Linked DNA regions of Drosophila melanogaster. The gene in region 1 interacts genetically with each later gene. Each region holds a gene or a part of one and is shown on either strand. Other genes may lie near its edges.

Region 1 (7,904 bases):
GTTATAGATATACACACGCACGCACACAAATCCTTAACTTTACATCGACCTATCTTAGGCGCTTTACATCTAACGCGCTGGATCATCGTGGATCTGGCCATCATACCTCATCTACAATCCATCTAGAAATCATCCAGCTCCAGCTACTTCTATACAACGTTCGCCGTGGAAAGAACATTCTTTAGCCTCGCACTAAACTAAACTTAAATAATAATCAACAACGTTGCTCCAACAGACTTAAAATGGAATTAGAACAAAAATCATGTGTGCTTAAGTCGTGTGCAGAATGTCTCAATATTTACACATCAAAGTTCACTTTTGCCAATTGCCCTCTAGCTCCTCTAGCTCCTCATCATCTATCTCTCTTCATCTGACTCTACTCTACGATCCTGCGGCTCCTTCGGATTCGAAGGACACATGGAAAATCGAACAGTGATCGGTGGGGATGTTTAGCTCTCTCGATTTCGCAGGTCCACAAATCCGATTCTCTCCACCAGGCCGCCCTTGTCATTCATTCCACATTCATCAGTTTAGTCCTTCGTTTATTTTTTTTTTTTTTTAACTTTTTGGCACTGCTTTGAATTTCTTTTGGCACCGCACGCTTCGAGCGTGAAAATAAAATTATTTATGCATATACATAGATAAATACGAATATATCTATATGGAGTATGTAAAAAAAAAAAAAGGATCCCGCTAATACGTCAACAGTTTACAAGGAAAATATGTACAGTATGTAGTGGAAACGAAAATAAAACTAGTTTAAAAACAAATGGGGCGGTTATTCTCGAATAGAACTAAGTAAACATATTGTCTCTTAAATGTTAGGATCTAAAAATGTCTGCAAATTCAGCAAGTACTTTTCTGTAGGCTAACTAAACTAGGCCTTTAAAACTATAAAACTTGAACTCAGTCAAAGCAAACGAAGATTTGAATATCGATTCTGGATTTCTGCATCCTTTCCGCTAGCGTTTTCTCGCCCGTCGATTTCCTCAGTTGCGGTTGTAAAACTTTCTTTGGTAGCGCTTGCAGCCGCTTCCGATGCTGCCAACGCCTCCTCCTCCTCCTGCCCCTCCGCCTGGTCCACCGGCGGATCCTGCTCCTCCTCCTCCTACTCCTCCACCGCCGCCCATTCCTAGGCCCAATCCCATGAGCTGTTGCTGTTGCTGCTGCTGTTGGTGATGCTGCTGATGCTGGTGCTGATGCTGCAGCCCGAAGCCCGAGTAGAATTGCTGACTCGCCGCTCCAACTCCAACTCCAACTCCAGCGCCGACTCCAGATCCCGGCACAACAGCCCCAGCGGCACCCATGCCCAGGGCTTTATTTTAGCTGGACGCGCCCAGTTGATTCTTCATATGGGCAGCGGCGGCGGCGGCAGCAGCAGCAGCGGCAAACGGTGAGCCACCGCCGGTCGGTGTCTGTGGGCCATTGTTGTTGTTATTGTGATCGCCAGGGGTGCGCGGTCCGTTGACCATGCCCACGCCATTCACATTGCCGCCACCGGGTCCGCCGCCCAGCAATCCACCAGCGGTATTCTGCGCCCCAGCCGCTCCCGTCGGTGAGCCCTGGCCCAAGGAGGAGACGTGTCGCTTGAGCATCGGATGATTGGCCATCGATGCGAAGACCAGGCGCTCCTCATAGTCGTACTCGCAGAGTATCTTGTTCTCGCACAGGTAGAAACGGTCGCCCACACAGAATCTGAAATAACCGGAAAACGGCAGTGGTTAGTACTACGGCACAACAAGTCGCAAAGGAAGTGGAAACGATTTTTCCACACGCTTAGGCAGACCCAGAAATCGGTGGGGGGGAATCAAAGGCATAAACACAACGACAAAGACAACGACAGCAACGATGAGCGATGACAATTGACAGCGGTTATGGCGACTGTAGCTGCCAGCCAGCCCGGCAACTCAGGAACTGTCGTCTAAAAACAAAAGCAAAACGGTTCCAAAGAACAAGGACAGCTACTCAGGGAATGGCAGACGGGGCGGGACCGAAACAGGACCAGCACAAGGACAAGGAAGTCAGATAAGCGCTAGGCAATGTCGCTCCGCTGTCAGCAACAGTTGGTGTGGCAGGAGCATGGGTCTGGAGCAGAGGAGCCTGGAGTGCTGGCTCCACTTCGGTTGGAGTACGGAGTCGAGAGTGTACATTCAGCCAACTGCAAATAAAGTTGGCTCCCGGCATGGAGCCCTTTGTCAAAATATTTATGTTAGCACCTGTACGGATGGCGGAGGCGGATGCCACGCCCACTCCGGCCAACAGCAAACAGATACACTCGATGCAAACCGAAAGGGAGCTCGCATTACAAACGAAAAAAGCCGAAAAAAGAATACGATTCACTTGGGGATGAGATGGAGTCGCGTTGAGCAGACGAGTTGATGTCCTTTGAAACCAGCTAGATCTGGTATTGAAAAGTGAGAAAGACCAACGATGATTGTGCTTATTCCTTAGAATAAAAAAGACAAGGGGTAAACGTTTAGAGATACTACTACTACTACTTTCTTATCCGCTACAACTTGCAAGTTGCCTCGAACTTTATCCATCCTTTCCATCACATATTCTGCTATCCTGATGCAATACTCTACGCCCTCCTCCTCCGCCGGCGTATGCAAAAAAGAAACGTTTAAAGTTTGATTCCCCGAGGAGGACGGGGCACGGGAACACACTGCATCCGTTTTGGTAAGGAGTCTGAGTAAATCAGCTTACAGCAGACTTACAGCGGATATGAAATTTGGCTTTTGATTTACGTCAACATTTTGTTGGCCCGCTGCTTTCGGTTGCGTGGCCAAATCGATTGACGGCCCATGTGGGCGTGGCAGGGAGCAGTGCACAGAAATCTGGCCGGCCGGAGCGGGCAAAAAAGCGCTTTGTTTATCTACCAAAACAGGGCAACAAAAGTCCATGAAAACGAGTCAACAAAGTCGAAACTTTTGCTTCTTTTGCCGCTGGCCTGGCATTGAGCGCACCTGTGACATGGCGATGGCGATGGCGATGGCATTGGCATTGGCGATGGCAATGGTGATGGCTATGGAAATGGACACGGACATGTTGATAAGTGAGTGCCTCTGTGCGGGACTCGCACATCCGGGCATTTCGTTCGCCTCCTCTCCGGCTCCATTCCCCGTCGTTCACAAGAAACCAACAGCAAATTGTCAACAGGAAGCACACATACCAAAATAAAATGGGGGGGAAAAAAAATTGTGAAAAATTCGCGTGGACGAAAGATTTGACTTGGATGCGACTCCAATCGCAGGAGAGCAAGGATGTCGTCGTCCAGTGCTGACGACAGGAAATTATGCAAACCTCACCGACGACTGCAATGCATTTTGCAGCATTTCCCAAACAGCAACAGGACCCAGGACTCAGCGGTAGGACTCAACAGGAAAAGTCTTTTTGTTTGCCAAATGAAAGCCCGCATTTTAAATGTGGCCATTCGAACCATCCGACCAACCAACAAGGCGGAGCGAAGCAGCCGCTGGCCATGTGGCCACGCCTCAATGGATTTTTTCGGCAATTGAATTAATTTACGTGAAAAATTGATTAGCAACAGGAGGGGATGCATCTCCACTGGTCATTTTTATGGATAACGTGGTGAAATATGGGATAACCATGACCCATCATACTCTCAATCTTTTGATATTAGTCTAAGCTAAATTTGCATTAGTTCTATATTATATTATTCTAGCGTAAACAGGATTATAGAAAAGTCAAAAGTTAACCATAATGGCATCTCCGCAAGGGTGAACTTCTCCAAGTTCGTTGCTCCTGTTGCATTTTTAAAGCCAATTCTCGGCAATGCAAAAACAAAGGGCCAGCAGGAGCGCAAAAAGCGGGGAGATTCCCGGATAAGGAGCGGTGGCCAAACGGGTGGAGACGATTCTCACAATATGCCAATATGTTATAACATTTATTTCAATATTTTTTACCAGCCAGCACCGTGTGGCGGCGCTTTTAATATTTAATGTTCGCTCCCTTGTTGCGTTGCACAATCGACGACTATGCCGGAGGTTTCTGGTGGACCGGGAGCCACGAAGGCATATGTGCGCCCTCATTATTAATGCAGAAACCCGAAACGAAAACGAAACCAAACCAAACCAAACGAAACGAACCGGCCAAAATGGAAGAATGAGACGCGACCCCATCCACCGGGCAATCGGGCTGCAGTTTAAAGCTCTCCAGAGTGACATTTCACGAATTGGCCAAGTCCAATAAAATATTTGAGGCCTTGGAATGCTGGGCGTTGACTTGATGGCACCCAAAAGGGTTCGGTTCGTTCGGTTCGTTCTGTTCAATGCGAAATTTATGCGGTTTTCATAGAAAACGTATGACACTAAAGGGCCATTCTTCCCACCCCGTTTGTTTAGCCGTTAGCTTGTAAACGATGGCAATTTGCTGTCTGGCGGCACGTTAATAAAACTTCAAGTGCCACTTTGGGCCCGCTCCGATGGGCCAAAGATTAAAAAGGGATTCATGTGGCCACCTTCAATGCGAATCTCTGTGCAAATTGCCCATAAAAATGCATGCGAAATCGTTTAGTCGCTTCTCCCACACAATGGATGATGTATGGTCTGCCCCACAATGGGGCAATGGGCCAGTTTGGCCAAATTCCTTTCGATGCTCACCTGTGGTTACACTGCTGACAAGCGAAGCACTCCAAGTGATAGACATTGGTCCTTGCACGCATCACCATCTCGAAGGCTGGGATCACCTTGCTGCAGGCGGCGCAGTAGCCCGTGTTGCCAAACAATCTGCGGGGAAAAGTTATGAACAGATTAGTAAAAAGTTTGAAGTTTATATGGTTTACATGGTTCTGACTTCTTTAAGTAAACATCTTTACTCTTTGCTATTAAATTGAATATGCGTAAAAAAAAGCTTTAGGTAGAATAGGTACTGTTTAAATATAAATTACTCTTAGCAAGAAAGCTTCTTAAAGTCTTATAAAACTAAAAATAAGTCACAGAATATAATGAATACTTTATCTATAAGCATTATAGACCTGAGTTCTCAAGAATTGGTATCATTTTTAACTTCTAACATGACTAATGAATACCATCGTCTATTATACTTCTAGGTATATTACACTATCAAATGGTTTTAGTATTTCTTAAATCGCAGCTAACCTCAAGTAGTCCCGCTTGCAGAGCATCAGGTTGCCCTTGGTGTAGAGCGTGGAGCCCACCTCGCCCAGGCGGCAGTCGCAGCAGCCGCACTTGAGGCAGTCCTCGTGCCACAGCATGTCCAGGGCGCGGAGGAGATAGCGGTCCTGGATGTGCTTGCCGCAGCCGGCGCACAATTGGCTGCCGTTGTTGTTGTTATTGTTATTATTGTTGGCAGCGGCGGCGATGCTCTGGACATTCCCGTTGCCATTGTTGCCGCCACCGGCACCGCCGGAGTTGACCACATTGACCACGTTCCCATTGCCATTGGGATTGGGCCCGTTGTTCTGGCCACCGCTGTTCATGCCGGCGTTGCTTTGCTGCGACTGCTGCTGCTGCTGCTGCTGTTGGTTGGAGGAAAGCCCGACGAGACCGGGTTCGGTTTTGGTAATGTCCATAGTCATCATCTGCAAGGGGACAGGAGAAGATATAGTTATTACTCAAGGTTCCATCGCCGGAGTTTTGTGTGTGTGTGTACATTAAGGCTACCGAATCCCTGGTAATAACTGTAAGCGGAAGGGGCAAATCCCCAGGGCCACTGATAAGCGTACTGGGGCACGTATTGCCGCAGGATCGCCTGCTGCTCCAGCTCAATCGACTGCACGTGGGGCACGAAGAACTTGTCCATGTTGTAGAAATTGACGCGTTCTTCATCTTCGCAATGCATACTAGCGTTGTAGAGGTACTCCATTTCGATGTTTTCCTGTTTCCTTCGATTTCAACAGTTTTCTTACAAAAATGACCCGCGAAAGATCAGAAAGCTACTGAGTCTTCTTCTAGCAGTGTTGGCAGTGTTGGCAATACACAAACAAAATAACATTTTATGGCGTGTAAACTATCGTATGCTACTAAGTTCTCAAAAGAAAATAGCTCTTTTGTAAATAAGATGCACTAATCAATGCATTGGACTCATAAAAATAGTTTGGTAATTGTATTTTTGTTATATCAAATAAATTTTTTATAGCATTTTCCTTATTGTAAATTTCTTCAAGTGTCGGCCACTGGCAAAATGTAACGGCAATTATCAGCTGTGGCACAGTGTTGTGAAATGCGCGCCTCTGCGATGGCGTCAGTGTACAAAAGATCACTATTATGCAGCATACTTTTGGGCTGACCACTAAAGTGCACATTGGATTCGCACACAATTCGCAAACTATGCAAAATATTAATACCCCTTTGAAAATGCAATTTCCACAATGAAATGGTGTAATATTCATATTTTCATGACATATTTTCAGCTGAATAAAAAAAAACTACTTCTTCACTTGGGCTCGTCCGGGAATTGAACCCGGGACCTCTCGCACCCGAAGCGAGAATCATACCTCTAGACCAACGAGCCTCGTTGAATGACCCGCTGCTAATCACCCAATAAAAAGTTAGCGATCGTTTTTCGTACTTTCTCCTTTCGTTCAGCACCTTGCTAAGAAACTCAACCAGCGATGTTAAGGAACTTGGAATTTTTTTTTTTGGCCAATTACGATAATATCCCATATTTTTGGACTCTCTTCAAATAGTGCTCGTAGCCCCCAACATAGTATGTATGTATTATCCTCAACTGTTGTCGCCCGATAACGTTGACGTTAACAGAAACCAGCAAAGCGAGCAGCCAACAACAACAAATCAATACAAACAAAAGGCCCATTTACCCATACACAATTTCGTGGAATGCCAAGCGGCGATTTAAAATAACGAGATTTATGACAAATTGGCGCCCCCCATCCCTTGCCAACGCTAAATAGTTTGTTGCAATGTGCAAATTTCAGCAAGCAGCGAGGAAACCCTAAAAATATGCAATGCCAGCGATGCCGCAATGCACTCACTACACTGAACAATGCGGGGAATCATTGCATCATTTTTTTTTTCAAGAAACAACAAATAATATTTAATATTTATATATAAAAACAAGAGATAATTGTGTTCCTAAATGTCCTTGGCACAAAGTAAGAAGCTTATTTGGAATTTAAAATAATCTGCCTGTCAGCGAATCTCTTCAAAGTTTCAGTAGAAACTTTAAGTACTTTCACATTTTATTTTTCACAGTGCATCATTCTTTGCCCGCCGCAGAAGTTGTACACACAATGTGTGCCGTGTCTGGTTCTGCCTTTGGCCGCCTCTCTTTTCGCTGATTGCCCTCGTCCGTGTCCGTTGTCGTCCCTTGTCCGTTGCCCCTGTCCGTTGCCCATCGCCGGACAACCGGGCCAAATGGCTCGCATTAAGCCCTGCGCCATGTAGCGCCAACTGTGACCTCGACTTGACCACGGCCCAGAGAGTGGGCGTTGTGGGTGTAGGGGTTATGCAGCTGCTGGAAATGACTTTAATTAGACGGTCGCCTCCGATCCCCAATACCCACGTGCCCCCTCCCATCGCCAGTGAGTCGTCGGAGGGCGGGTCGAAAAGTCATCAGCAGTTGATGCCCGCCGGCCAGTCGACGGGGGCATCCAGAATGCCAGATGGGTTGGTGCAAGTGGATGCCTGGGTGGCTGCCACTGGACTGCTGCGCCGCCGACTCATAAAAATTCAATCAAATCAATTTATGTAAATTTAACGCGACGTTTCAAACAATAACAGGACCGGACTGGTGGACCGTAGGAGTGCAGGCCGGGAAATGGGAAATGGGGTATGGGGTATGGGGTATGCAGCGCATCAAAACTCAATTTTGGCAGCTGCAACATGCAACGCCAATGTGGCAGCGCAGACTGCATTGTTATTTAGTTTAGACAAATGAAATCGAATGCTAAACGCTGCTCG
Region 2 (3,635 bases), on another chromosome or scaffold:
GGCAATTAGAGTGGGAAATGCATCAGTAGCCGTTGGATTGGAGGGAGGGGCTAAGCCGCCGAGGACAAGTAAGCCGAGATTCAACTTTCGCCTGGCGATACTAGTTCTCCTTGCAGTCTTGATGCGTTTTCTGCGGCAGATGCGTTTGTTGCGTGCAGAAAGCAAAGAAGAAATGGGGAAGAAAAACTAGAAACCAAGATTAAATGTCTGCAGCTGAGGAACCGTTATTCCCGCTGCGAGAGTGTGAGTGAGCTCGAATTACCAGGGGTGGGGGGTGTTCGTAATGGTAGAAGAAAAATCGCCCACCTTATAAGGCGAGGTGTTATTTTCTTCCACCGAAATCGAGTGAGTGGTAATATCTGCCGATTTTCAATCGCGATTCGCTGATAAAAGCGTTTTGGCCAACTTTTTGACTCATTCGCGCACGAATACAAGCAAACGTGTTTGCTCTTGCGTAAACTACATACATGCATACATACATATGCATATCAACTATGTGTCTGTGAGTCAGCGAAACAAAAACAAAAAATGGCCACAACAGCTGAGTAGTTACTTTTTTTTATCGGGGGTTAACAATCGCAATGGGAGCTGCTAAGGGTTAATTTGCATACACTTGCTGGCAATGAATTAGTTGTGTCTTTATGCCATGGAATCGGATATGAAATCATCGTTAAAAATACACCATGTAGATTTAATTTTACAAGCAACATGAATCACACAAAAATAGCCATCACACAGCTGTCTCTTGTCTTTTTGGCTCTCTTCGCTGTTGTTGTTGTTGTGTGTGTACAAACACCCACAGCCTGCATCACACACACACGCTCAAATTCGTGACAGCACCACCCACCCCTCACCAATAACCGTTAATTCCGCAGACACTTTCAGCCGGCGAACGGGAGAAGAGAATTTGCGAATAATAGCAAAGCCCCGTTTAAATGAACGTTTTTAGCAACAATCAGGCGTTACTCACCTTCTTTTGCTGCTGATGAATTTGCAAGGATCTGCAGTTGTATTCCAATTAGAACTGACGAGAAGCTGCGTAGCGAACACCGGCGAAATGGCGAAAATAATAACTTGGCGTGGCCTTTGGTGGGACCAGGCGTACATTCGTGGAAATAGTCAAGCGAGTTAACCCTTATGTGGGTGGCAGAATACTAAAAATATATGATACAACAAATTTTAGACTTAAGAAAACGGATGTTTAAATGTATAAAATATGATGGAAGTGCAATAGCCAAGCTTATAAACTAATTCTTAAATTATTTGCAATGCATTTAGGACTTTTCGATATACACGTAAATAAACTATATTTTGATTGAACACGGTACATTTCTACTAGAGTTCACCTTCAGATATTGACGCTATTTCTTGTCCTGTAAATTATTTTGTTAAATCGTTCACATTGTATGTCTAATAAAGATGTTTTCCAATAAAATGTTATTCCCTTTTCACTTAGTCTAACATATTCATTAAATAATCAATGTTTTATTTTTTATTTAGTTATTTTAATTAGTTCTTAATTATAAAACTGCTCTAGATTCTCGATATTTTGCGGAATCCGGCGCATGGTCACACTGACGAACACGTATTTTCATTATTCTTGCGAAGCGCATCGCTTAAAACTTGATTACGCTCGGATAACAAGATGCACCCGCGTCTCAAGTGACTGAACAGGTAGCGAAGTGACCCTGGATGAGCGTGGGTAGGCAGCCGGCACCTCTGGAAAGCCCTAATCCCAGGTCCGCCAGCCGTTTGCAGGTTATGTCCGCTTGTGTACACTGTGACGGGGAACCGAAGAAGCAACAGGAGCGGATTCCTGGCAGAAGAGACAACCGCTGTACGAGATACCGCCCCTGACCTGCGCAACATGATCGAGGTGCTGTGCCTGCTGCTGGGCAGGATCCTGCTGCTCCTGGTCGGCGGCTACGAACTGATGTGGCGGCTCCGAGAGCGACTGAATGCACTGGCCGTCCGGTCATATGACCTTTGGCGCAGCAAAGCGGCACGTGAGGCGCACGAGCGGCGCGTGCTCGCTGACTGCCGCTCCCAGTTGACGAAGACGCCGCAGCATCTGGTCCTGGTTATCTCCCCCGTAGATGCCGGCGTGGATGCGGTGCTCCTCAGCAGGATCTTCGACTTTGCCCTGGACGTGGGCATCAAACACGTCAGCCTGTACGACAGGCGGACGAAAGGCAGGGGATACGTGGACATGGCCGATCTCTGTCGATCCACCAACGCGGACACGGGCAGCTGCTTAAAGTGGCCACCCGTAGCCAGTCCCAGCAAACTGGAGAACCAGCCCAAAAACGGACAAAAGACAAATGGTTATGTGAACGGTTCACATTCCCCTCAACTGCAGGTGAGTGGCGGCGTCTGATAAGCCGTGATTAGTAATGGACTTTAGAACGATGTCGGAAAATGTCTTACAAGTATTACACTTTTTGTTTCAATTGTTAAATAAAAGAAGTAATGAGCTGGAGATTTAATTTAGTTCATCATTCACATGAGATACAAAAAATTCTTCGTGCTGAGAACCAGTTTTACCTTTGTATCCATTAAAACCTATGTATAGCAACGTAATCGATTCCCGGAACTAGTCGTTGCCTTATCAGTTTCTAATTGACTTTTCGGCTTCGGCGTCTTTCAGCTCCATCAAATCAGCGCCTCCGACGGCCATGCCCTGATCGCCGACGTCTGCCGCGAGTTGTACGAAGACAGTAAGACGGAGTTGGTGCAGAGCCTACTTAAGCAGAAGCGCGAAGCGCTGACGGAGCAGATCAGCGACATGCTGAGCAAGCGACTCGGGTTCGAGGCCCCGGAGCCGGAGCTGGGCATCGTGTTCGCCCGGCAGACGTGCACCTACGGCCTGCTTCCCTGGCACGCGCGCTTCACCGAGTTCCACACGCATCCCAGCGGACGCCACTTCGACGTGGAGACGTTCGCCAGCATCCTGTGCAAGTACTCGCGGTGCGAGCAGCGGTGGGGCACGTAGGCACATCGTTCGCGTGGGTAGCGACACCCTTATATTAACTAGTTACCTTAACATTATGTAAATTATCGCCAGGAATTCCTTTTAGTTCGTAAGAGTAAACTGCAAAAGTGTATTGTTCACATGAAAGTGTCTTTTGCTGGAGAGGATCGCGCGTTTCTAATGGCGGTGCAACGCAGCAGCTCGTATCTTGTACATAATATTCGATCTTTATTGAGTGACGTTTTGCTGTGCTTAAGCTTAAGGCGCAACTAGATGAGTATATGTAAGTGGGCAGACTTAAGCGCTATGGTTAAAAGTATTGTATTGCTTTTCGTTCAAGTGTCATCTCCGGCGCTCAGCCGCTCTACTCCCGACCGGGCTCAGCGTGGCGCTTGGACAGGAGATTGACGTCGGTCAGATACGTGTTCTTGTCGATGTTGTGCGGACCGGGACCCGTGGGCATCCGCTCGTGGAGGCCGTGGAAGGAGTTGCGCAGATCCTCGAGGGAGTCGGCCAGGCCCTTCTTGATGCTGGCGAACTCGGTGGACATGAGCGACAGCTTGCCCAGCAGATAGTTGAGGTTCTCGTCCATGTCGATCATGTGTTTCTTGGTCTCCTCCACGCGGCTGCCGAGACCCATCATGGTGATGAGAGTGCTGTTGTT
Region 3 (4,926 bases), on another chromosome or scaffold:
TGAGCTGCAGAATTTTTCGCATATCATTCAGCTGAGGGTAAAGTCCCTGCGCGATACCGACGATCTACTGGAGCACGTGGGACTGGAGGATGCCAAGCAGTTCATTGAGGACAACCCGCATCCGAGGCTCTGGCGACTGCTGGCGGAGTCTGCGTTGAAGAAACTGGAACTGGAGACGGCGGAGAACGCCTTTGTCCGTTGTGCCCACTACCCGGGCATTAAGTTGGTCAAGAGACTGCGCACCATACACTCCAAGGAGCTGCAGAGGGCGGAGATATCAGCCTTCTACGGAGAGTTCGAGGAGGCGGAGAAGCTCTACCTGGACGCGGATCGTCGCGATCTGGCCATAGAGCTGCGCATGACCCTTTGCGATTGGTTTCGCGTGGTGCAGCTGTACAGAATGGGAGGATCGGGAGTGTCGGACCAGCAGATGGAGATCGCTTGGCGGGAGATTGGCCACCACTTCGCCAACCTGCGCTCCTGGGAGAGTGCCAGGGAATACTACGAGAAGTCCCACTACCTGGAGGGTTACATGGAGGCTCTGTACCACTTGGAGCAGTTCGACGACTTGGAAAAGTGCGTGGAACGGCTACCGGAGAAGAGCCCGCTGCTTCCGAAGCTGGCCGAGATGCTGGCCTCCGTGGGCATGTGCTCCGAGGCTGTTCAAGCCCATCTTCGATTCGGCGACCAGAAGGCCGCCGTCGCCACCTGCGTTAATCTCCGGCAGTGGGGCGAGGCTGTTGAGCTGGCCCAGAGGTTCCAGCTGCCCCAGGTGCAAACGCTCATAGCCAAGCACGCGGCACAGTTGCTCCAGGAGGGACGCCTCAAGGAAGCCATCGAGATGCAGCGGAATGCTGGGCGTCATCTAGATGCAGCTCGCCTGCTTTCTCAAATGGCGGAACGGGAGCAAGAGAAGCGTGCTCCGCTGCTGAGAATCAAGAAGCTGTACGTGCTGGCTGCTCTGCTGGCCGAGGAGCACCTCAAGGCTGTGGCCACGACGGAGATCGACTACGCCAGCGGCAGGAACACCCTACTGGACTCCATTGCCCTGGAGGATGCGGCCGCCATCGAGAGGCTTTGGCACTGCGCCGAGGCCTACCACTTCATGCTCCTAGCCCAGAGGCAGCTTCGCTTCGGGATCGTCCACAGTGCGGTGGTCACTGCGGTGAGGCTGCGCGACTACGAGGACGTCCTGCCTCCAGAGCACATCTACAGCCTGTTGGCACTGGCCAGCTGTGCGGATCGGGCCTTCGGAACCTGCTCCAAGGCTTTCATGAAGTTGGAGCAACAGGCTCATCTTCCCGAGGCTACCCTTCAACGGTACGAGGAGTTGGCGGCTGGGATCTTCGCCAAGTACGATCCGGAGGACACCACTGGCGATAGGGTGGATTGCTATTCCTGCGGAGTGCCCGTGCCAGATAGGTAAGTGAAGGGTCGACGTCAGAAGCTGGATTATAATGATGATACTCATGGAATGCCGATCCTTTCAGCTCCCCCTCCTGCCCCGAGTGCAATGCTCGCTTCCCGGCGTGCATCTCCTCCGGGAAACCCATCACCCAGCCGACGAACAACATATGGATCTGTACCACCTGCCACCACTGCGCAGCTCCCACCGAGATCTCCAGGCACCGAACTTGCCCACTGTGCCACAGTTTGATCGTGTCCATGACGGTGGAGATCTGAAATGAGCGGGGACTAGTGTTTTAATTACTCCAGCTGTTTTTCATTCTGCTTATCCCAGGTGGTACAGGCGTATCTACTCCGCAAATAAACAATGTAGTTTTAAGATAGAATTCAAATTTATTTTCAAGTGAAAAGTGTTATAAGTGGAAAGAGTGACTGTTCACAGTGAGTATTTCCTGGGGAGTGCGCTAGGGCCACACTACTAGCTCATCCAACACTCGCAAAGCGGTCACACTGGCGAGTGCAGCTAAGTAAGTCGGTTGTCCGTTTCTTGCTGAATTTTAAATAAGTTAAATAAATTTCTGCTTCGTGCGGTGGTGTGCGTACGCAAATATAAAATAAAGTAAATAGTAATTGCGGTGCTTGCGAAAACCAAACGAGCTCCAATTGACCGACGAAAATACTTAAGTGCATTAAAGAATTGCGTTGTTGTGCGTCGCGCCCGTTTGTCCTTATTGTTGTCGTTAGTGGAGTGCACGAAAAGTAATTGTTTTTATTTAAAGAGGTTGCATTTTAATTGCTAAATCAGCTCAGTTGCGAGTAGAGTGCCAAAATAGAGAGTAGCGACAACGAAAACAAGTTTTTGTGGATGGTGAGAAAGTAAAAACAATAGCAAATTTATATATATAGCTATATATATATGTGGTAAGGTGCTGTAAGCATTTAAAAATACAAATCCTCTCGAGGTTTTAATGGCCAAAGTTTCGTAAACGTGTAAATTGAGTGGAATTCGATTGCGAGTGCATTCTTGGTTTGTTTTGAGTGAGAACCGAAAACCAGTTTACACCGTGCTTCTTGCCAAGGTGAGTTTTAACCCCAATCGTGGCAGTTTAACGTTAATTTTAGTCATTGTTATGTTGTTAAAAATAAGTTTTCTTCTGTTAAATGTGCAATTTCGCCTGGTTAGCTTTGTCAGCTCTCTTTCCCTTCCACCTTTCTTCTTTCCCAACGAGCGGTTTGTTTATGACCGCAGTAGTGCACTTGTGTGCGTGTCAATTAGCGCTTTTATCGGGCGCACACCAAGAACAGTTAAACCTGTTCTGGTTTCTCTTTCGCACAATTTAATGGCCTTTCTTTGGCTTTAGTTTTGCGCTTTCGTCGACTTCTTCTTCTTTGTATCTCATGCATGTATCTTTATATCTGTCATTCGGGGAATTGGCAGCAAATCGGCAAACTTCTCTTTCATCGACCCCCTGCGACCAGCACCTCGCTCCCTGGAAACCCGCATCTTGTGGATTCTTTCCAGTTTCCAGATTGCTGCTGAAGCTTCCAGCTGTCACAGCCGCAACAACAACAACGCCAACGGATCAAATGAAAACCCAGCCAGCATAAACTCACACACATCGAAATTGCCTAACTAACGCACACATTAAAATACAGTCGATGCATCGTCACGAAAATAAATAACAATAATAGCCGTTTATAATTTAGATCAAGTCGCAAAAAATTTTTTTGCGTTTAATTCTTTATGAGTACTGATTAAGGTATCAGTTCAGCGATATTTCATATTACTTCTGAATATGGGGGTGCACACAAATTAAGATATATGTAGAAACCGTTCTTATTTTTTATAGAATTCATTAAATAAGTATGGAATAAACTGCGATCATATTTCCCATACAAAGCATTTTTATTTTTCACACAGTTTCCTTAACCAAGCGATTTTAAGCTTAACCTTATATTTCTGACACTGGCAATGGAACTTGATTTTTATTATCATACGTGATTTAATGAACAATGACGCCTGCTTAGGACACGAGCTTCGAAATGCAATGCACAGCGAAAAGTCCCACAAGCCATTGCAAAATTAAAAACTGAAATGGCACTCAGAGGTGCACTCTCCCCACCCTCGGTATCATATCATATCATACCATGCCGTACATGTCACAATGTCTGTTTAGGTTCCTTTATGGAGCCGGGCTTTGTCGTCGCCATGATTACTCAGCTTTATTGATAATGCTGGGTGGAGGAGTGGCAGGGAGTGGCTGGGATGAAACCTCCTGGGATTTCTTGTCCAATGTGGCGGTGGTTAGAGAGCAACCCATGAGTCGGGATGTTAGTTTTCCCCTTATGATTACGACATTCTCTGTTCTCTATCTTTTCGCTTTGGGTTTGCATTATCCAACATTTTTCTTTGCTTTCTCCGTATTGTTGCAAGTGCATTTCGCTTTTGCTGATGATTATGCTTAATTCTTGTTCGTCTGTCTGCATTGCAATGTGTGGGTGCCTTTCCACTAGAATAATATACACATGTTTTCTTGGTTTTCAGCTGAAATCGGTTCTCTTCGCTGAATCAATCGAGAAAGCTTCTAGCTCTATCCAAATTCGGGCTAGAAATCCGAGCTTCGCCCGCTAATTGGCCAATACAAACTGAGGTGTTGAGTGTTTGGCTCACTTGTGAAATGAATACGAAACAGCTGAAATCACTGTTTCTCACTGATACTTCATAATGGCAGCTAACATCCATCCCAAAATAATAACGTTTGAGAACCCTTTGCCTCTTTGCTTTAATTAAACTGTTCACTGAAAGTTTTGATTGGCCTAGCATTTACGTAGTTCACAAATGTAAGACCCTAGACCTCGTGCAAACTGATATTCTTTCAATAATTTCATTTCCTGGGCCAGAACAACTTGTTTTTATACCAAATCTATTTCTTGCCATTGAAATCGTTTATTATTCTTAATAATCGTTTTTGCCAAATGTGCTTTGTCGCCTCGCCAAGGCGTTAAATTGCCCACTGAACGCCAAACATATGCGTTGCGGTTATTGGAGATGTGTATTGTGGATTCAGTAAACTCGACTTTGATTTCGCTATCCAAAGTACAGCTCAAGTGAGGGCTCCTCCTTTGTAGAATAATTCTGTTTATATAAAGCGGGAAGCGACAATCTTTGTTTAGCCTTTATCAAGTGCGCAGTACTTGAAGTTGGGGGAATAGCTGGCTCATTTTCCCCCTATGCTTAAGATTATAGTAATCCAAGTCAAATCCAGATGTTTACATATGCACTGTGCTGAATCAATTGAAAATACATCACAAAATATATACACACAACTTGAAGAATATAAGACCTACTCTTAGCTCTGATGGAGGTTTAATTGGAACGAAAATAGGCAATGCTTATACTTTATAAAATACATATCATTCTAATTGAATGAAATAGACGAATGCCATTGAGTTTTTTTAACAACAAAGCTTTCTCCTTAGTCCGAAAGTATTTCGCAGATTTTCTTTGGTTTGTTTTTG

What was found. Genes that interact genetically often act in the same process or in processes that back each other up.
Region 2: of Bx (region 1) and Tango14, changing one enhances a phenotype caused by changing the other (phenotypic enhancement), as found in Drosophila melanogaster (one study listed by BioGRID).
Region 3: of Bx (region 1) and drpr, changing one suppresses a phenotype caused by changing the other (phenotypic suppression), as found in Drosophila melanogaster (one study listed by BioGRID).

What each region holds. Positions count from the first base shown.
Region 1 is NC_004354.4:18,564,355-18,572,258, reverse strand, and holds Bx (beadex), read right to left. Parts: upstream 5,954-7,904; 5' UTR 5,848-5,953; coding exon 5,635-5,847; intron 5,564-5,634; coding exon 5,121-5,563; intron 4,749-5,120; coding exon 4,623-4,748; intron 1,696-4,622; coding exon 1,323-1,695; coding exon of another isoform or gene 990-1,322; 3' UTR 533-989; downstream 1-532.
Region 2 is NT_033779.5:1,157,109-1,160,743, forward strand, and holds Tango14 (transport and golgi organization 14), read left to right. Parts: upstream 1-1,552; 5' UTR 1,553-1,867; coding exon 1,868-2,359; intron 2,360-2,647; coding exon 2,648-2,992; 3' UTR 2,993-3,112; downstream 3,113-3,635. Other genes in the region: CG5080 (uncharacterized protein), read right to left, coding at 3,336-3,635.
Region 3 is NT_037436.4:1,728,085-1,733,010, reverse strand, and holds the start of drpr (draper), read left to right. Parts: upstream 1-1,903; 5' UTR 1,904-2,486; intron 2,487-4,926. Other genes in the region: Oseg4 (outer segment 4), read left to right, coding at 1-1,422, 1,491-1,683. UniProt on the Drosophila melanogaster protein: Receptor which is involved in the phagocytosis of a variety of cells including apoptotic cells, severed and pruned axons, degenerating dendrites, salivary gland cells, germline cells and bacteria.